Astyanax mexicanus: one gene and its partner. The protein of the gene in region 1 purifies or fractionates together with the protein of each later gene. This does not show direct contact. Links are inferred from orthologs where the notes say so. Each region holds a gene or a part of one and is shown in the gene's direction. Other genes may lie near its edges.

Region 1 (10,991 bases):
ATCAGTAGCCTATTCACAGAAAATTCACTGAAGTATTCCGTTGATTACTTTTTTTCTGCTGCTTATGTTGATTTGTGTTGATTGCCGTTAAGTACAGTTTTTTGTTTGTTTCAGTTGCTTATTATTAACCTACTATTTTATTGTCTTAATACAGTTATTATGCTCATTTTATGTCTCTTTATGTTGTTTTATTATTGCACATGGAATTGTACACATAAAGACCATGTATTATTAAAGCCATTGCTCAACTTTGAGCTTGAATTAAGCAGATGAGTGATATTTTGTCCTTCTAATTATTATAGCTAATTAAGGTATTTAATTCCTAGGCATATTCATGTCCAATTTTAGGGTGCTTACATAAATCATTAGCTAGGTTATACAATCATGTGTGCAATATTTACCATGTAAATGTCTATATGTATTTGTTTTAGCCCAGTGTTTAACATTATGCTCAGTTTAATTCCTGCACATGTGGTAAGATAAATCAATGGTTTGTTCATCACAGATTTGGGACACTTTTAACTCACAGCTCAGAACAAAAGAATGTAAATGTAAGTGTCCAAAAAAAAAGACAATCAGTATAAAAAATGAGAGAACTTCATTTTTATTGGCATGGAAACCATAAATCTAAATATAAAACATTGCACCAAAGTTATATTATGATATACATCACGTATTGTATATTTGATGTGAATAGTTAATTCTGGCATATACATGTTATGAGTAAATGTAAAAGTAAATCCCATGTAAGCCAACTATCAACTATCAATGTTGAGGTTAAATTGAAGGGTAATTGAACAATATGTCTACATAGACCATTAGTCTATCGAGGCACATAAGACTAATATGTGTCAGAATATGATATGAATACCTCCTAAAACTTTTTAACTAACCCTAGCTAAGTCAAACCAGTTATTTAACGCTAAGAAAACCGAAGAAGGTATCAACGCATGCTGACGCATGCGCAGAATGCCACTGGCTTGAAACTGCTGGCGTGAATCTGCTGGCGTATATCCGTGGCTCTGCGGCTCTGCAGACAGATACTATTGAACCTTTGCAACCTGCTCGATCTCTGCATCCTTTGGTGGTGGCATGATTGATCTTCTCACGGCCTCTTAAAATAATAATATAGAGATATGAGAATGCAGTCAGGTAAATACTACATCTGTTAGTGTCTTTTCATGTACAATGCTTAATTTTAGAGAAATTTGCAGACTGTATTTGATTACAGTGATTCTTATATAGTGATAGTTATTTGAATTTGAATTTGAATTTCTTCAGGCTATTCATGGTGAAACATAAATAGCCTTTACAGTCACTGTGTGTGACTGGTAGTTACATTCTATAAACATGTGAGGTGGCCGATATCAGGATATCAGGTTCACAAAAATACCAAAACTTTTTAAAATGATATCTTTCCCTTAGCTTAACTGGCTATCTTTCCCTTAGCTTAGCTGGATATCTTTCCCTTAGCTTAACTGGCTATATTTCCGTTAGCTTAGCTGGCTAGCTTTCCGTTAGCTTAACTGGCTATCTTTCCCTTAGCTTAACTGGCTATCTTTCCCTTAGCTTAAGTGGATATCTTTCCATTTTCCATTTCCCTTAATATTTCCCTTAGCAAGCCATTGTTCCCTTAGCTGGTTATTGTTGACATACTTGGATATAAAGTTAACTTACTTAACAGCAGTCTTTCTCCAAGAGCCGAGATAAGCTGCCAACTTGGGAGCCCCTTGTGTTATTTAAATGTGAGGTAAATTCTCATTCTAACTTAGCACAATGCTAACTTTTTTTAGCACAATGCTAACTTTTTTTAGCACAATGCTAACTTCGACATAGCTACCCTTATAATGCTACAATAACCTGAGAGTGGTAACTGCATTAGCACCACATTAGCAAAAAATAGAAAAGCGGATAGTAGAACAGAAATTATAACTTACCTTTTAGTCACTTTGACAGACCAAAGTCACTCACTGACTTTGCCTTTAAGCTTGATCATTGCTCTGTGGTAAAGGCACGTGCAGGGAGGGGGGAGGGGGAGGGGGGTGGATTCGTCGGTCACATGATCCACATTGACATGCCCTCACTGCCCTGTTGCGCCCACACGAATACACACAAATTAAATATCACATGCAAAAATAAAAAAATATGTAACTTTTATAACCTTGCTTGCTGGCTTACACAAAGTGTATAGTCAAGCACAAATACATTTATAATTTAATATTTTTATTTATTTATTATCAGCACTACCAATAATAAAGGTGAGATTATGAATCAGCACCATGGAGCAAATTCGTAGCTATCCAAAATATTAAATAAAAATATTTTTATAAATAAAAATGTATAGCTATACAGTATATGTCTTGACAAATATGAGATGTTACTGGGTGTGTGTGTGTGTGTGTGTTTTATGTGCATCAGAGTTTATCAATGATATTGCAGGTGTTTCAAATTTTTTCTCCATGTGCACCCTTTTGACTTTGAGCACCTGCCCCTCCAAAGGTCTCTGCACAACTCTGCTGTGGTACCTTGATTTTTCTCCACTTTTGGTTTAGAAAATATTTCAGAGCTGATGCTACATTTCACACAGTGTTGCTCCTATCCACTAAGCTAGCTAATCTACCTAGCTCTCACAGACAAAAACAATAAAAAATATTCAGATACCCTTCATATGAACTTGTTATGACACAAACTTTCAGATTGTAAAATATTGAATGGTAAATTTGGGCTGACCCAGAGTAACCTAGCATAGGATTTGTGTGGGCATGCTCACATATGTGTGCGTGCTGCCCACATATAACCCACAATGCCTACAGTGTGTAAATGGTGCAGGCTGAATTTGGGCTGACCCACAGTGTCCCTGCATGACATTTGTGTGCACATGCCAAAGTGCAGGTTGCAGACATATAACCCATACCGGCCCTTCAGGGTATGAAATGGTGCAGGCTGAATTTGGGCTGACCACATTGGCTCTGCATGGGAATTGTATGGGCATGCTAAACTGTGCTTTGCCCACATATATCCTACACTGGCCCTTCAGGATGTAAAATGGTGCAGGCTGAATTTGGGCTGACCCACACTGGCTCTGCATGGGATTTGTGTAGGCATGCTAAAGTGTTTTGCCCACATATATCCTACACTGGCCCTTCAGGGTGTGAAATGGTGCAGTGCACTGGCTCTGCATGGGATTTGTGTGGGCATGCCAGAGTGTGGGTTGCCCACATTTAACCCACACTGGCCCTTCAGGGTGTGAAATAGTGCAGGCTGAATTTGGGCTGACCCACACTGGCTCTGCATAGGATTTGTGTAGGCATGCTAAAGTGTTTTGCCCACATATATCCTACACTGGCCCTTCAGGGTGTGAAATGGTGCAGTGCACTGGCTCTGCATGGGATTTGTGTGGGCATGCCAGAGTGTGGGTTGCCCACATTTAACCCACACTGGCCCTTCAGGGTGTGAAATGGTGCAGGCTGAATTTGGGCTGACCCACACTGGCTCTGCATGGGATTTGTGTGGGCATGCCAGAGTGCGGGTTGCCCACATATAACCCACACTGGCCCTTCAGGGTGTGAAATGGTGCAGGCTGAATGTGGGCTGACCCACAGTGGGCCTGCCTGGGATTTGTGTGGGCATGCCAGAGTGCGGGTTGCCCACATATAACCCAAACTGGCCCTTCAGGGTGTGAAATAGTGCAGGCTGAATTTGGGCTGACCCACACTGGCTCTGCATGGGATTTATGTGGGCATGCCAGAGTGCGGGTTGCCCACATATAACCCACACTGGCCCTTCAGGGTGTGAAATGGTGCAGGCTGAATGTGGGCTGACCCACAGTGGGCCTGCCTGGCATTTGTGTGGGCATGCCAGAGTGCGGGTTGCCCACATATAACCCACACTGGCCCTTCAGGGTGTGAAATGGTGCAGGCTGAATGTGGGCTGACCCACAGTGGGCCTGCCTGGGATTTGTGTGGGCATGCCAGAGTGCGGGTTGCCCACATATAACCCACACTGGCCCTTCAGGGTGTGAAATGGTGCAGGCTGAATGTGGGCTGACCCACAGTGGGCCTGCCTGGGATTTGTGTGGGCGCATCAAAGTGTTGGCTGTCCAAATAATTCCCACACTGGGCCTACAGGGGCATTAATGCACTGGACCAGTTCAGGCTAGCCCACAGCGGCCTTTTATAGGATTTGAGTGGGCCAGCCAATGAACAGGCTGCCCACAGAAAACCCATGTTGGGCCTGTTTGGAATTTTAATGGGCTAGCCCCTGCCCACAGTGCCCACACTTAGCCCACGAAGGGCCGATGTGTAGCTTTTTGCTGGGTCATTTTTCATTTCAGTCTCTGCACGAGAAGCGTGTGGGCAGAGCGCAGATGTTGTGCCAAATTTAGCACCCGCGCCAGAAAAAGCACCCCCTCCTTGGAGCATGTTAAATAACTTAACTTGAAAGGCAAAAAATGAGAGATAATCCGCTGTCATTAGTTTGTTTACTATGCAAAAATAAACTAAAATACGTCTCGTTTCACTAATCAATTATGGAGGACCAAAATTAAAAATAAATAAATAAATAAAAATGTATGTAAATCACTCAATAAAAGTAATATGGTGACTAAAACGCTAAAGAATTATTCTAATTACTATATCAAAATAAATACATATACATAAAAATAAATATCATAATAAATTGTTATTTATGGGTTTTTCAATTAACATTGTTTAATTTTTCTAAATTTGATTATTATTTACATAACTATTTATTTCTGCATTAATTTTTTTCCGTTATTTTATTTCTGTATTTATTTATTTCTCAATGTATTTATTGCTGTATTCATTTATTTCCCAATTTATTTATTTCTGTTTTTCCTTGTCCTTTTATGATAATGAAGGGGCTGTCCAGCAATGATGTCACGGTGTCTCAGCATTCCTATTGGTTGATCGATGTCAGATACCATATATGGATTGTACATGTTTTGCCCATTTGGTGGTTACTTTGGTAACGTGGGAGATTATATAATAAAGATCATTTAGATCGTAATACAGACTGTAATCCATTTTTCTGAGGAGAGCAGCTGCTTCTCTGAGCAGATCCAATACTAAACTTCACCCCGACATTTCAGCTCCTCTCTCTCTGGGCTTGATTGCTAAGCCTGTACGTGAAAAACACGCCCCCTTCTTTATCATATAAGGACAAGGAAAAACCGAAATAAATAAATTGGGAAATGAATGAATGCAGAAATAAATAAATCGGGAAATAAATTAATGCAGAAATAAATAGTTATGTAAATAAATAAAAGTAAATTGAAAAGAAATGTTAATAAAGAAACCCATTAATAACAAATGATTAGGATATTATTTTTTTTGTTTTTTTATTTTTATATTAATTATATTTATTCTTTAGCGTTTTTATCACCATATTACTTTTATTGAGTGATTTACTTACGTTTTTATTTATTTATTTATTTTTAATTTTGGCAGTTTTGGTCCTCCATAATCAATAACCCGAGAGAGGGTGATTTTCATACAACAGCTGTGCCAAAATCAGCACCCCTGCCATTAAAAGCACCCCCTCTCAGCGAAGCTTTTTTGGCACGTGTTTCTAAGTAAAGTTAAACTTAAACTTTCCAAAATTGAAGAAATATCCTGAACAAGAACTTAGTTATTATTTATAAACTGAGTTTTTAGCCGTTTAACCCTATTCACTTACATCTATTCTGGACTCTCTTGCGGTCTCCCAGCGGTATACAGTTATTTTCGGATGTACCGGGGCGAGAGGAAGGGGGCAGTCTTTCTATAAACCAGCTCTGTGGCGGCTTTAAGCTTAAAGTGCCCACATTAAAATTAACATAGCCAAAGTGGGTCAGGATTATAAATATTATGGGTATGTATTATACATACACACCAGGACTATATTAAAATGCTTACCGTTTTTAAATCCTTTATTTTTTGTTATTGTTTTTTGTGATGTCATATAAACGTGTGTAATATAAACGCAGAGCCGGTTTATTAGAGACTGCCCATTTCCGATCTCCCCGTTATATCAGAAAATAACTGCCCACCGCTAGAGGGAGCCCGCGAGCGAGTCCTCAATGAATGGGGTGAATGGAGCTGATCGGCTCAAACTCAAATAAAAAAATAGTAACTAACTGCTTGTCCAGGTTATTAATTTACTTTTAGTGAGAGCAGAGTAAACTTACCTGTATATTTTCTACAGTAAAGTGGCTTCAGGCGCTGCATTACTGCTATAGACAGGTAGAGGTGGATAAACCAGGTCCAGAAAGTAAAAATCCAACAAAGGGTTTTGTATCAACTGCCTGGGCGGGTCTGTTGACATGCAGTAGAGTCGCTTAGGCAGTTGGTACAAAACCCTGGGTTGGATTTTTACTCTCTGGACCTGGTTTCCCACCTCTACTGACAGGTGAGCTGATTCTGAAGTTACAGCTAGAGCACATTTAAAATGTTTATAACTGAAGTTTAAATTCTTTGAAACGCATTTCTGCGTTGGTAAATCAGTTGATATTGTTTTTGTGTTAGTACAATTAGTACAAATATCAAACTGTTCTGTATGAAAATGATCAAATATTTATAAACTTTTTTTTATAGATTTTGCTCAATTCCTCCATATGGAGTGGGTATTCGCTCTCTCTACAGTCTCTTTGATAAACGTGGCATTACGTCACTGTGTGTTTTGGCGCGTGGGGAGGGAATTTGAAAGCGCGGACACGGTGAGAGGTTTCTCCTGTATTATTATTAATATTAATAATATAAATAGTGTCTGTACAGAACCGATACAACGCTATGTGAACCTGGCGCAGGGCTGCGTGCTGCGGGGCAGTACGGGCTGGGCTAAGGGGAAATCTGAAGCTGTCAGCGGAGTGAAGGTGTTCTGCTGAGTTTTGCTACCTTGTCAAGACGTGCTTCCCTTGTGTATAATTAAAGGTAAAAATACAATAGTAGCACAATTTTAGAGCATTTTTCCCAGCAGAAGTCTATGTGCTGTTTTTGATAGCATGAAGCACTGTCTCAGGGTAAAGTTATAGTGATGAGAGGTTATTTGAATCTGCTTATATATATATATATATATATATATATATATATATATATATATATATATTTATAATATTTTCTATTATTAATATTAATTGTGATTTACACTTTTTATGTAATTACAGTAAGTCCAGGTCGTTAAATGAATAAAAAACGCAAAAGAATATAAAAATAAATTTAAAAGGTAGATTGGCGCATGCGCAGTGCCTTTGGAAAGCACTTATCGATGGGTAGCATAACTCGACAGAACACCGGTACCGACAGCAGCAGCAGCGGGTTCTGGTTCTGTGAGAATTGTGAGGAGGAGAGTCCGGCTCCAGTTAGACTGCAGAGCTGTGAGAAAACTCAGGTTTCTGTGCGGGAGAATCTCATTCCCAATTATTTTCAGTTTGTTTACGAACAAATGAGACGAAACGCGCCCGGAGTTCCGAGTTTTTAACTCGGGTTTAGTGAGTTAGCTTTAGTTAGCATAGCGGCTAACATCCACTCTACCCGCCACAGTTCACCTACCTACCCAGCCCCGAGTTCAGGGGTTAGACCCTACAGCCCAGCCTCAACCAGAAAACAAGCCCTGATACCACAGAACCCTGAATAAACACTAGCTCTGATTGCAACACGTCTTTACGACATTATGTTCCAGATGAAAAAAAGATACTTTAAATTAAAGGAGAAATCCGGGATGAAATGGACTTGGGTCGTAGTGAAACATGATAAGTAACGTACAAATTTTTGTTGTCAAATTCAGCATTCAGAAATACAGTGCTTTTAGCTGATGCTCCCAACAGGCTTTCAATGCTGGAGAAAGGGGCATAGCGTTGCCCTCAATATTTTTACACCATTAATGAACAAGCTCAAAGTAGCACCACACTTTACTTGTAGAATTCTGAGGGCCCTGACATTTAAAATGAGGCACTGAGAACTTGTACAGATCGTGAATGCTAAGTAAAAATACTGTTTATACCCACAGTATACACGAAAGATAAATGAAAGGTAGGATGGGTAAACAGATTGTAAAAATATATTCTATGAAAATGCATTAATTCTTATTAAAAATCTCTGTAATATTCATGCATTAACACAGACTTAATTTTGCACTTTGTTCCCTATCCTATGTACTCTTTCTACTCATAAGTCGACTCATAAATTATTCTCGAGAACTACCTGATGGTATTGTGTGTATACCCACTGTTTTTAATAAACTCTCTGTGCGTGCATCTTCAAACGTCTCAGTGCTTCGTTTTAAATGTCAGGACCCTTAGAATTTTACCAATAAAGTGTTGAGCTACTTTGAGCTTGTTTATGGTGTAAAAATAGCCATTTCTATGCATAGCCAACCCTATGCCCTTATCACTAGCATTGTAAGCCTGTTGGGAGCATCGACTAAAAACAATAAACACTGGGGGTGAACAGAGTGGGGCTTTTTCACAAATGTACTCATTATCATGTTTCACTACAACACAAGTCCATGTTACACCAGATTTCTCCTTTAATTTAAAGGTCTCATTCTATCGTTTTTTAATTCATTTTTAAATGTCTAGTTGTCTCTAAAATGAATTAATACCATATGCCCTTTTTTTTGGAAAAAAGTGCTTTTAACTAGTGTAAACAGAACCATTCTAAATATACACACCTACATATCTCAACTTACCTGGCGTGTTCCACAGACAAATTCTAACCATTTATTCCTTAGCTCTGAATTACTGGACAAAGCGTATAACACTATTGTGTTTTTTGCACAAATAATATGATTCTAAAAAAAAAAAAAAGACTATTATTGTTGACATAATCCTGATATCATTGTGCATCCCTTATAAAAAAAAAACCCATACACTTCCTATAGAAATTAAATTAAGGTAAATCAAATGTTCTTTTTGTTGGAACAGGCTGAGCTGAACTTCTGTACACAGTCTCTGTAATCTTTTGACTGACTCGGACTTGTTGGAATGAACTGTTATTTCGATGGTGTATTTTCAGGTGCTGCTTTTCCTGTATGTTTGTCCAGAGAGTCGACATGGTCAGCACCCCACTGCCCCTGCCCGTGCACTTTTCCCATGCCCAGCAATCATTCTCTCTGAAAAAGCGCCGCCTTGCCTTCTCCTCGTCTGTGTCGTCAGACTCCCACTCCCCTCAGCGTCAGCTCTCGCACTCCCTGCCACCGCGACCCCCCTCCAAAGGCTGTCCCTCTGTGAGCCGCGTATTTCCCCAGCGTCGGACCCCCTGGACCCCGCTCTCCTGTGAGCTGATTGAAAACCCACCACCACTCTCTCTGTATGACCCTGGCCGGCCGCAGTCCTTCTTCAGCCAGTGCTTCATAAACCTGGGCCTCATCGGCAGAGGCTCTTTTGGGGAGGTGTATAAGGTGAGGTAACTACAGGTAGAACAAAACCAGTGTAAATAGACCAGGTTCTGGTCCTGAAGTTTGTATTTAATTTAGAGCTGGCAGAAGCAGAGTTATGTAGATCCTTTAAGATTCTTAGAAGACTGTCTGTAGAAACATTAGCTGCGTGCAGAGTCTGTAGAAGAAGTGTCATAAATTCTTTCAAAATATTACACTCATTACAGGTGCATATTTGTGAGTAGTGTGGACACGATGACAAAATGATAACTTTCAACATGATACCTGAATATCTTGATACTGAAACTGAAATTATACTACGGCTTAGTGCTGAGCGCTATGAACAAAAATGCATATAACAGTATTTTGCAAGATTCTGAAGGTTTCACGGTATATCACTGTATTTAAAAAAAATCTTATTTATTTCTATATTTTTGCAAAGCTTTTTTGCACAAGTAAAACACAAGTTTAACATAAATTTACAATATGTTTAATTGAAGCCATTAGAGGTGTTAATGTTTTTAAGCAAATGTTTATCAGTTTATCACAATTCCCTTCTTTCTCCTGTTAACAAATACATTCAGTTCAGTGTGCATTAATATTTATTTATTAATAATTAATATCCTTCAAGCTACAGTATTAATATATTTAAAAGGACTATAGTTACTCATATTGTAAGGTACAACAGCAGTTATGTTTTCGAACTGTGCTTACCCAGGTCACTCAGTACACTGAGAGAGAAGCTGGAGGCTGGATTACAGGCTGAAGCTCAAAATACTGACATGTAGTTACCCAAAATTAGACACTGTTCAGTATTAAATATTTGGACCACTTTTTAAGAACATAATGATACCAGTCGGAATAATGTTTAGATTTGAACGATATCGCAAACCGATAATTGCTGTTTTTTTGTGCAGAAAAAGGACCAAAAGATATATATTTTTTATATTTAACCTGTTCATTTAACAGTATAGTAAAAATAAACTACCCTCTTGTGCAAATTGTTTTTTCACCTACAGGTAAAGAGTCTGTTAGATGGGCGGCAGTATGCAGTGAAACGCTCGGTGCAGCGCTTCCGTGGGGAGGTTGAACGCTCCCGGAGCATCAAAGAGGCTCGGAACCATGAGCGTCTCCATCCGCACCCGCATATCCTGGGCTTCATCGCCGCCTGGGAGGAGGGAGGGCATCTCTACATTCAGACTGAACTGTGCTGCACCAGCCTGCTTCTCCACACTGAGAACCAGCCTTCAAATCCAGGTGAGACTTTTTGCATCATTTTATTTTTATTTTTACTGTTGAGGAGAAAAACCCCAACACTTTTTTTTGTTCTTGCTTTTGCAGGTGAGGCATGTGCCTGGTATTACCTATGTGATCTGCTCTTGGCTCTTGATCACCTACACTCTCAGGGCTTTGCTCACATGGACCTCAAACCAGCCAATGTGTTCCTCACGCGTTCTGGGCGGCTCAAACTCGGTGATTTTGGCCTCTTGCTGGAGCTGCCCAGAGAGAGCGAGGCTGGAGCGACAGAGGGAGGAAAAGGCACAGACAGGAAGAAGAGGGAGAAAGACGATGAGCAGGAAGGAGACCCGCGGTACATGGCTCCTGAACTGCTGAGGGGA
Region 2 (11,010 bases), on another chromosome or scaffold:
TGATTTACACTTTAATCAAGCTGATGTACAAATTTACAGTTTGGAATGCATAAAAATTTGCAAAAAAAGAGAGCATAATGGTTTATATATTGTTTTTATATATTTTGCAACAAATAATAATATAAAAATGCTTGCAGGGATCTATGCATAGTGTTCCATTATAAAAAATAATATCAGTTTTATTTATTTTTATTATTATTATAAATGTTTTAATACATTTTAATTCTTTATAATTGTTATGTTCTGATTGTTCTGAAAGTTTACTATAAATATAATAGAATATAAATTTCAATTATAATAATAAATATATAAAAAAATTTTTAATTAGCTTTATTTTTTAATTTTTTTTCCATTATTTAAATATTTACATATGTATTGCAAAAATGCCAAAAATAAAAATACATATCCTTTGCAAATAAAATTATAAAAAAATGTATTATCATTTATTTTTCTATATTTACACTTTCTTAATTAAGTTTTAAATAAAATAATATGACACAAATATAAATATAATTTTAATTTATTATGTCATATTATTTTATTTTAACTAATAATTATACTATTCAAATAACAAGCATTTTCATTGCTAAAACTGTCCTATTTTTTGTATAATGTATAAGTATAATGTCAAATTATTATATAAAATAATAAAAATAGTAAAAATATTACAAAACTTAAAAAAAACTTAAACATTCAGTTTATATAGAAAATAAACATTTTAATTATATATTTTAAAATAAAATATTTAATCTAAAACACATTTAAAAAATATTTTCTAAGTAAAAACTTTTTCATAATTATTATAATCTGTGTATTTGTATTGATTTTATATTAAGATGCCAAAGTGTAGTAAAAGGCCATGCTGCTAAACTGAGGACAGAGTTGTAAAGCTATATGATGCTTAGCAGCATATTTATCACTTTAATATCATCATAGTTGATAGATGGGACAAGCCAATCAAAACTGTAATAAGATGACTGTAGCTACTAATGTAATGTGCACAATATGAATGAATTAATTTATTTCAATAAACTTAAGATTATGTAGAATTTTTAAAGTGTTCAAAAAACTTTACACATCAGTTTTGATGGTTCAGATCAGGGTTTCACATCCCTGGTTGGGAAGCACCCCTGCCCTGCACATTTTAGTTAGTATGTACAGTATGTTTAGTTAGTATTGCTAATATGTTTACCACCATCATGTGCAATATGCTTAATGTGCAATATTTTATCTTTTTTTATTATAGTTTAAAATATTTATTTTATTTTTCTATTTTATATATTGCTTGTATATTCATGCTACTTCGTTTGCCCTGTCCTCTGTGCTGCTGTAACATTGCAAATTTATATTAAAATCTTTCCCATCTTATCTTATCTTATCTTATCTTATCTTATCTTATCTTATCTTATCTTAATAGAGTCCCTGCTTTTATCACACCCCCTACAACTCTAAAGTGCTTTTTAATGAGCTGATTATTGAATCCTGGGTTGAGAAACTCGGGTCAGATGACATAATTCTGTGTTTTACACCAATCAAGCACAAAATTATGACTATATATATATATATATATATATGTTCTACTTTGGTAACTCCAGCTTAATTTTTGTTCTTCCAGTTTGAGAGAGATCGTCCATGACGTGGCAGTGAAGCCCAAACTACACTGTCTGATGATGGACCCAGCCTTCTCCATGGTCACAGTGCAGAGCGAGGACAGCGGGATTGTCTGGGAGACGTCGTCCAGTCGCTGCTCCACCCCCTGGGCTTCAGACTTAAATTCTGCTGCTACAGAACCCTGCTATAGTCTGCTTCCAAAACCTCCTGCAGCTCCAGCAGGTCCAGAAGCAGCCGGTAAAATCATCTTTATAATGGATGAGGACCACTTGATCAGGAGGAAGAAGAGGAAGAGGAGTAAAGCTGAGAAGAAAGCGGAGACAATGGGAGAAGGACTGGGGGAACCTGAAAGGCCAGCCATGGTGGAGGTATCTCTTCCTAACATGAAAATGGAGGAAGAACCAGAGGTAGTTGAGCAGAAAGACCCAAAAGAGGAGGGCAACCAGCGACTCTTCCGCCTGGTCTCTGAGGGATCCGAGATTTTGAACATCATTGCGCCACCAAAGATATTCACCGTGGATGAGGAGGAAAGCAAAGGGCTGGAGGATAACCTGTCCTACCTGGAAGAAACTCCTGTCGTCAAAGCCCAAGACATCGTCGAAGAACCTGAGGAAACACCAAAAGAGGACATTCAAGCCATGCTCCAGGCAGTTCCCGAACCAGTCCTGGTTTCACCAATCAAGCCTCCGCGAAAAGGAGCCACTAGCGAAGACTACTTTGAGAAGTTCACACTGCTGGACCATCAGACACCAGCAGGAGGAGCTCCTACATTGGAGGCTTCCGATGAGCCTGAGGTCTCGACAGAGCAGGAAGCAGAAGATAAAGTAAGTAAAGACAAGACTCTCAATGCAAAACCAGAAGTGGAAATTGCAAGCGATTCAGCATCAGTCAGTGGCCTGGAGATTGCTAGTGAACATGTGGACGAGGTGTTTTATGGTGGTGGAAGCGATCCAGACAAACAAATCCTACCAAGGAATGGAGCAAACCGAGGAGATCTGCCCACGTCACCTTTGAAGGAAAGCGGATCCGCCTTGTTCGGTAGCCAGGAGACGATACTTACCCCAGTTTACCTCCCTGAGGGACCTGCAAAAATTATAGATCTGAACCTGCTGGAGGAGCCAAAAGCCTTGGCCTTCATGTACACAGATCTGTATGCGGATGCCATAGGAACCAGGATAAAGCAAGAGGACACGGAGAGCGTGACCTCGGAGAAGTCCTTTCACAGTCAGGAGTCCGACATAGAAGACAGAGGCTACCTGGAGAAGTTTGTACTCAAAGACGAAACTCCATTAGCAGGGGCAGTTCAATTGACCGGTGACCGTACGGTGGAGAGGGTGAAGATGTTTTCTGAGGACGCTTTTGGCATTGCACAGCATGAAAGGTACCAGTCTGGACCACAGGTTGAAGAGGAAATCACTGATTTCTTTAGGGACAGTGCAAGCTCATCCCCTTGTGAACATCTTCAGGTAGAAAAGCTAGAACCTGAGGAAACGATGGAAGTGAAAAAGACTCGGCGTGTGGCTTTTCAGGATGAATCCACAAAGAACGGCAAAAGGATGACACAGGCAGGAAATGACGTTTTCCTGCCGTCAGAAGATGATATAGAAATTGCAGAGGCTTTTTTACCACTTGACATAAGCACAGAGTCTTCCTCAGGGGACGCAAGCTGGGTAACTGTAGACAGAAAATCAGCAGCTGCTGAATTCGCTGCCCAAACTGTTTCGGGGAAGACAAAAAAGACAGAAAAGACAAAGAGACCTAAAGCACCCACTGGAACTCTCTCGATCAAATCGCCTCAAACAGTCAAACCCATAACACCACCCCACAAACCCTTCCTGGACCTGACTCCTCTACTTCCGGCAGAGGTCGAGGAGGAGGCTGAGGGACATGGAGAGATGAAAGTGAAGCAAGAACAGAAATCTGGTGCCAGTGACGTTTGCTCATCCACACCTAAGGCAGCAGAACCTACAGGAGAAGCTGGGCTGGACTATGAGCTCATCACCAAGCAGGAGGCCAGTGAATACGCCACGCCTCAGAAGGACTCAGAAGGATTCACTATGGTGGAATATCCACCAAGTCAGACAGACAACCAGTATGATGCAGTCGAGGCAGATTACGAGATTGTAGATGCTCCAATCTCCTAATTTAAACCTAGACTAGATTAGTCTCCAAGTTTACGAAATGGGCTCTTCTGACGTGCACTTGCATTACATTTCACAGTAATGACAACCCTAATGTTGTATATGACCTAAAGTAAATTGACACCCAAAGCAAACCCAAAGTTCACACCCTGGGTAATTCCTCTTGCTATCAGCAGCCAGAGCCCGAGAGAGGACAATTGACCATGCTCTTCCCCTGAGAGCATGCTGACACAGGCTTCTATTAGCTGATGTATCAGAGCTGGTGATCTGGCGCTTTCCTCCGAATACAATTCAAGCTGTCTATTGATGCTGCTCAAAAGTTAAATCCCCCAAGTTAAGACCTATACTGGGTTCTCTTTCTTCCTGAAGACAAATTTGACCCTCGGTTGCTGAGTATAATACAGCAATTGATCTGTGATGTATGTACCAACACCCCAAGTGCTGAGTTTAATACAGCAATTGGCCAGTGCTGCATGTCCCATTAACCAATTTGTTGAGTATAATACAGCAATTGGCCTGTGCAGTAGTTGCTATCACCCTGGTTGCCAAGTATAATACAGAAATTTGCCTGTACTGCATTTGCTGAAACTGCAGTTACTGCTATAATATGGGATTTACTCATTAACGCTTTTACCAACATTTCGGTTGCCTAGTTTAAACTACATTTGGCCCAATACTGTCTCAGCGGATGTTTTGATTAATTTATCACCTATTTAATGCCACACCTACCAATAATCACCAAAAAAAATGGCCAATATTGGAAACTGGATTAAAGGTCTTGATCTCAGGCCCTTTGTTATATGGGATTACTCAAAAAAAAGTTTTAAAAGTATACAGTATTCCAACCATTACTTCACATGTTCTTCACAAATCTATATTCAGAAATCTATATTATGTATAATCTATTATTCCCTGGTTGTTACATGAATTCCCACAGTGGTGTTTCATCCATTGGTCTGGCATCAGCTTTTAGATGATTTTTGTAAATATGTCATCGAAATGAGATATCATTTCATCTAGCCGTACTAGAACACCTCAAACCTACTCCGGTTAAAACAAACAGATAAATGAAAAAAGTGTATAATGATTAAAAAAAAGACTGTGTGGGTCTTGTATATAGACTTAGGAATCACCTTTGGCTGAAACAGAAGAGTTATAATGTATATAACTTTCCTGAAATATCAATAACACTAAAGTTGTAATATGTAAATGTAAACGTGCTAATTTATGAGGACAGAATATCTGTTTATACATCAATAAACTGTACATAACCTGGCTTGAAACGTGTTGTATGTGTTAAAACTGGTGGAATAAATACAACTAGATAGATTTCAAATGGATTTAAAAAGCGTAACAGTTACTTTTTTCCAGTAATTTAGTTTAAAAAAGTGAAACTTATATATTATATAGATGTATTAAACACGGAGAGATCTATTTTAAGCGTTTATTTATTTTATTGTTGATGATTATGGATTACAGCCAATGAAAACAATGGAAAACAGTCTCCAACCCATCACTGATTGGTGGAAACTTCACACTAGACCTCGAGCAGTTTGGACTGTGTGTCTCTCCACTCTTCCTCCAGACTCTGCTCCCTTAATTTCCTTTAAATGAAATGTAAAATTTACTGATGATCAGTGATGGTTTGGAGAGTCATGTCTGTCATCTGCTGGTGTTGATCCACTGTGTTTTATTATCAAGTCTAAAGTCAGTGCAGTTTTGTTTTCCCACAAAATCTTACAGCACTTCATATCTTACAGCTTCCCTCTGCTGATCTTGTATAGAGATGCGGATTTCATTTTCCAGCAGGACTTGGCACACTGCCCACACTGCCAAAAGTACTAAATAGTCTTATTATATAATATTCTAATTTTCTGAGACACTGATTTTAGGGTTTTCATTGGCTGTAAGCCATAATCATCAACAATAAAAGAAATAAACGCTTAAAATAGATCACTCTGTATGTAATACATCTATATAATATATTGGTATTGAAATTCTGGTACATTTTTGGGTTTTCATTGGCTGAAAGCCATAATCATCAACATAACATCTATATAATATATGAGTTTTACATTTTAAACTGAATTAATAAAATAAAGTAACTTTTAAAAAATTATTTTCTAATTTTTTGAGATGCAGTAGTATAGGTTACCATTCCGATACCCTATTGATTTATACGATCCTTCACACCGGCACACATCACACCACAACAAACTGATTAATGATAACAAACCTTTACATTTACATTTTTATTTACAGCTTTATTTGCATTTAAATATCCACTATTAACACTTGTGTTTTAAGAAGAACAAGCGATTAATTGCATTTTATCACAGAATATTTTCATGATTAATCAGATTAAATTTTTTAATCGATTGACGCCACTATTAGCTTAAAAAAACTCTGATTTTGCTCAAAAGCTTTAAATAAATCCATTAATTTTAGACTCCCTCGGTAGCGCCCTCTAGTGTTTGAGTAACTCAGAGCTCAGTATGGAGTGTGCAGTTTCCGCTCCACACGCTCTCTGATCGGAAGTCGAACACGTTTCTGTGTCGTCTGAGCATCCACCAATGACAGTGGAGGTTTACAGTCACGTGACTCCGCCTCGTCCAATCAGAGAGGCGGAATTTCATTTCAATCCGGCGTTTGAAAAAAGTCATTGAATTCCTTTGGAGAGGAAACAGGAGCTGCAGTTCTGATCAGCACGCGATTATTCGCTTCAAATACAGCGGAATCGAGTTTAATCCGGATTAATTTGGAGTTATTCGGAGTGTTTTAGTGTTTTTTTCTCAGCGCTTTGTTTCGGAATGTCACACAAACAGATCTACTACTCCGATAAATACAACGACGACCTCTACGAGTACAGGTGAGCGAGCGGACAGGTACAGCGGGATTTATTAAATTAAATCCAAAATTAGGATTAAATTACTGTTAAACATTAATAATAATAATCAGTCAATAGAGTAAAGAGGCTGTTCACGCTGCTGGCCGGGTTTCTCAGGCCTTTTCCTGTGTGGGAGCTGCTGCTAAAAGTCAGCAAACTCTTTTAGTTTCATTTAAAAACAAAAATAAAGTAATAAAAGTTAAATCTCTAAAGACAACTGGGTTTTCTAAAGAGATTTCAGACTCTGCATTAACTCTGTGTGTTTTACTGGGTCAGTATGAGTATAACGTGATTTTTATGTGTGCTGTGTAGTTGTTTAAATTCTATACAAACTCTGTAAAAAGTAAAAAATAACATTTACATGCCTTGCCAAAGGACTCACGAAGGATACACTACACAACTCTTAAAATACTTAAAAGTCGACTAAAAGTCGACTAAAGTCTGACAATCTCTCATATCTTAAGACAAGTCACAGACTTTTTAGTCACAGACTTGGCAGCCAATCACACACAGCCTACTCTTAACCAGAAACAACCGTCCACCTAGAAAACTGTATCCAGCACTAAGGAGCTAATCTATATTTGGATACACAGTAATACACACACACACAGCAGTGCCAATAAACTTTGTGATTCTGTTTTCTCACCAGACATGTGGTTTTACCTCGAGAACTCGCCAAACAGGTGCCCAAGTCTCACCTGATGTCGGAGGACGAGTGGAGGAGGCTGGGAGTGCAGCAGTCTCTGGGATGGGTGCATTATATGATTCATGAACCTGGTCAGTATTTCTAAGTTAAGGTGACCTTTTACCCCTTTTTAACACGTTTTATTTTAAGAGAATTCTGCTGAAGTAGTGAAAACAAACATTTCATATCCTTCAATAAACAAAGCACTTGAATCTTGAGCTCGACAGCATGACTATTTTACGGTATTGTTAAAAATAATGGCATATACATTAGGACTGCATCTAATGTCTATTTTGGATTATTTTTCTGATTATTCGATTAATCGACGATTATGTCTGCCATGTCCTTCATCTCTGCTTGCTTGCTTCTTCACTTTAAATTGATAGAAACAGCTGAACAAGGGATTTAAAAGCCCTTCAAATGTCCAGAACATTGACCTTTAAATATGGAAAGTGCTGATATTTAGTGAGGAAATGTGTAATATTTTGTATTTGGGCACTTTTTACTGTCCCCTGTACTTTGTGTAGTGCTGCAAATTAACAATTTGTCAACAATGAACATTTGGAATCATCATTTTTATTTTTATTTTTTTTTTATATAATCGTCACTGTCGATTATATCGACTAATCGATGCAGCCCTAAAATGCATTTCTCATTTTTTTTCTTTCTTTGTCTTCCAGAGCCTCACATCCTGTTGTTTAGAAGACCTCTTCCAAAATAACGATGGTGACTGTGGCCCTCAGATCTTCTGGAACCTTCCTGTGGATTATTCTGGTATTCAGTGAATACTTGCAACCTTTACTGAAGTTTACTGACTTCCTGTAGACGAGCTGGATTTTTCTCAGCGACTTCGCTCAGTTAGGAAATGAAGAGGATGTGTGTCTGAAAGAAACGGTGTGAATCTGAAAGAGGGCTTTTAAACATGTGAATCACGTCTGCTGTGCCTGTCTAACTGAACATCACTACAAACCATCGAGAGTTCTGCTGCATTTTGAGCACCGATGCCTTAAAAAAAAAAAAACAGTGTTTATTTTTGTTGTTCTTTGGGTAAAAGAAGGTTAATTGATCACTTGTATCTGTTTAAAGCACTGAAACGTCTGTACGGGGAGCACTCGGGCCAAATTACTGACACTTTCAGGAAAAGGGGACCAAAGAAAGCTTGTACTGTAGAGAAACATTGGTTACATTCAGTTTAAGAGATGCTTTAAAACTGATTTAAGTAAGGTTTGATTATTAAAGCTGGGGTTAAATCAGGTGTAATCAAGCAGAAACATCAATTATGTGGATTTATCCAGTGAACTGGATTAACCAGAGCTGAATTTAGACACCTGTAGATCAGAATGTATAGGTTGTGTTCACACTGAGAGCTCAAATCTGATTTATTTTATATCCAGATTGATTGTTGAGAGTCTGGACAGCCAGAAACAACATTTTAAATGTGATTTACGATCATATGTTTACAAATTGGGTTGGGATTTGCAGTCTGAACATAGTCTAAGAGGTCATGGGTGGTTTTCTGGACAGGAATTAAGCCTAGTAAACTATATTTTCAGTGGAAAATCTCCATTTAAAATGCTGTGTAGGCTTAAAACTAGTGTTGTAGCTCGGGGGTAGATTGTAGACCTGCATAATAAGTGTTTTTACACCTGATTTAACTTCTTAGCTAATTATTAAGCCCTTTTGATATCAGATCCAGTGAACTGGATTAATTAATGCAGTTTAATGCAGCAGGGTGTAACTGTAATCTGGAATCCTAAACTACTATTCAAGGATGTGTATTTTGTGGTTTAGACAAATGTAAAAGTATGTTTTGGAGAATCAGGTTTGGACTATTTGAGCTTGTGAACATAAAGATAATTCTATATGATTAAAAGAAAAATAAGGATTATGATTGTGATGTTGATATGGGGTGAATTAAGGGTGACTGTGAGTCTATACAAGGTTTAATTTCATGTGTCAGTATGAGGGAAAAGCGTCTTCACTATTACAGAAAATAATCATTTTATATGGTGTTTTTTGTTCCATTAATGGCAGTAAACTAAAACACTGATCCATTCACCCTGAATTCACCCCAGAATGCAGTACAGAATAGTGTTTATTTTAAAATCAAGGAACTATTTGCGTTTTCTTTTTGTGACCAAATAATAAAAAAACAACAAAAGACCAAAAAATTTTCACATTATCATTCCAGTTTATCTTGTACAGTTTAATAAAAACACCTTTTTCATATTGAATGTTTTGTGTGTGATAAATCCTTTAAGGCAATAGAGGGCGCTGTCGTGCTAGTAATAGTTATAATGCAGAGCAGAGACCCTATTATTGAAAAGTTGCTTTATTTCAGTAATTCAGTTGAAAATGTGAAACTCATATATTATATAGATGTATTAAACACAGTGATCTATTTTAAGCATTTATAAAAACCCAAAAATCAGTGTTTTAGAAAATTAGAATATTATATAATAAGACTAATTGGTACTTTTAGCAGTGTGCCAAGTCCTGCTGGAAAATGAAATCTGCATCATTATAAAAGTTGTCAGCAGCAGAGGGAAGCTGTAAGATATGAAGTGCTGTAAGATTTTGTGGGAAAACAAAACTGCACTGACTTTAGACTTGATAATAAAACACAGTGGATCAACACCAGCAGATGACAGACATGACTCTCCAAACCATCACTGATCATCAGTACATTTTACATTTCATTTGTAAATGAAGGGAGCAGAGTCTGGAGGAAGAGTGGAGAGACACACAGTCCAAACTGCTCGAGGTCTAGTGTGAAGTTTCCACCAATCAGTGATGGTTTGGAGAGACATGTCTGATATCTGCTGGTGTTGATGTAGTATATGGAGCTGATTGACTCAGGACACACCCAATAAACGTCAAATCTTTATTGCAAAAACACAAAACTGCAGGATTTAGTAAAAATCCTCACAATTCAACACACTGGCTCGTCTGAACGAAGCAGAAATGGGTAAGAGCTCTAAAAGCACACAGATTATTACAGATTATATCTCTATAATGAGCTTGAGTTCTTGCTCTGATAACTGAAGCTGAGCTTGACCCTCACTGTGGAAGATCTCACAGATCTGCAGATCATCCCCTTCCATCCTGAACTGAGTCCTGCTCCTCGTCCTCCTTCAGTTTTAAAAGTCTTTTTCTTTCTGAAAACCAAGTTCTCCCTCAAAAAACTGGAGATCCGTCCCAGAGTCATCCTACAGAGAGAACGAGGGTGGAGGTGTCTTCCTCAGGTGTGTAGAACCTCAACCAGGTGAGGATAGGTGTCTGTGTGTGTGTGTGTGTATGTGGTCTCAACCAGGTGAGGGTGTGTGTGAGGTGTGTGAGGGTGTGAGCCGCTCTCAGGCTGTGATCAGGCCCAGACTTCACTCAGACTCACTGGATCAGTGGAACTGGGTGGCGATTTAGAAACTGGTGAGGAGCCGTAGAGCTCACTCAGAGAACCCCCTGCCCATCACAGCTCTCCTGTACAGAGAAACAGATATATATATATATATATATATAATTATAATTATAATATAATAGTTATCCAAAAGCAGTGTGTAAGACTGGTGGAGGAGAACATGATGCCAAAATGCATGAAATTAAAACTGTGATTAAAAACCAGGGTTATTCCACCAAATATTGATGATTTCTGAACTCTTAAAACTTTATGAATATGAACTTGTTTTCTT

The links.
Region 2: the proteins of pkmyt1 (region 1) and zgc:86839 purify together in Homo sapiens (affinity purification with mass spectrometry; 3 studies listed by BioGRID and IntAct, counting the BioPlex papers as one, with this or other methods). This does not show direct contact. The link is inferred for Astyanax mexicanus from reciprocal best matches to the Homo sapiens genes PKMYT1 and CKS2.

Annotation. Positions count from the first base shown.
Region 1 is NC_064422.1:3,366,327-3,377,317, reverse strand, and holds the start of pkmyt1 (membrane-associated tyrosine- and threonine-specific cdc2-inhibitory kinase), read left to right. Parts: upstream 1-6,299; 5' UTR 6,300-6,715; intron 6,716-6,744; exon of another isoform or gene 6,745-6,929; intron 6,930-7,145; exon of another isoform or gene 7,146-7,386; intron 7,387-9,011; 5' UTR 9,012-9,027; coding exon 9,028-9,396; intron 9,397-10,391; coding exon 10,392-10,629; intron 10,630-10,713; coding exon 10,714-10,991. UniProt on the Homo sapiens protein: Acts as a negative regulator of entry into mitosis (G2 to M transition) by phosphorylation of the CDK1 kinase specifically when CDK1 is complexed to cyclins. Mediates phosphorylation of CDK1 predominantly on 'Thr-14'. Also involved in Golgi fragmentation.
Region 2 is NC_064424.1:46,532,301-46,543,310, reverse strand, and holds zgc:86839 (cyclin-dependent kinases regulatory subunit 2-like), read left to right. Parts: upstream 1-6,404; 5' UTR 6,405-6,562; coding exon 6,563-6,621; intron 6,622-7,288; coding exon 7,289-7,416; intron 7,417-8,004; coding exon 8,005-8,045; 3' UTR 8,046-9,558; downstream 9,559-11,010. Other genes in the region: si:ch1073-398f15.1 (cardiomyopathy-associated protein 5), read left to right, coding at 1,616-3,755. UniProt on the Homo sapiens protein: Binds to the catalytic subunit of the cyclin dependent kinases and is essential for their biological function.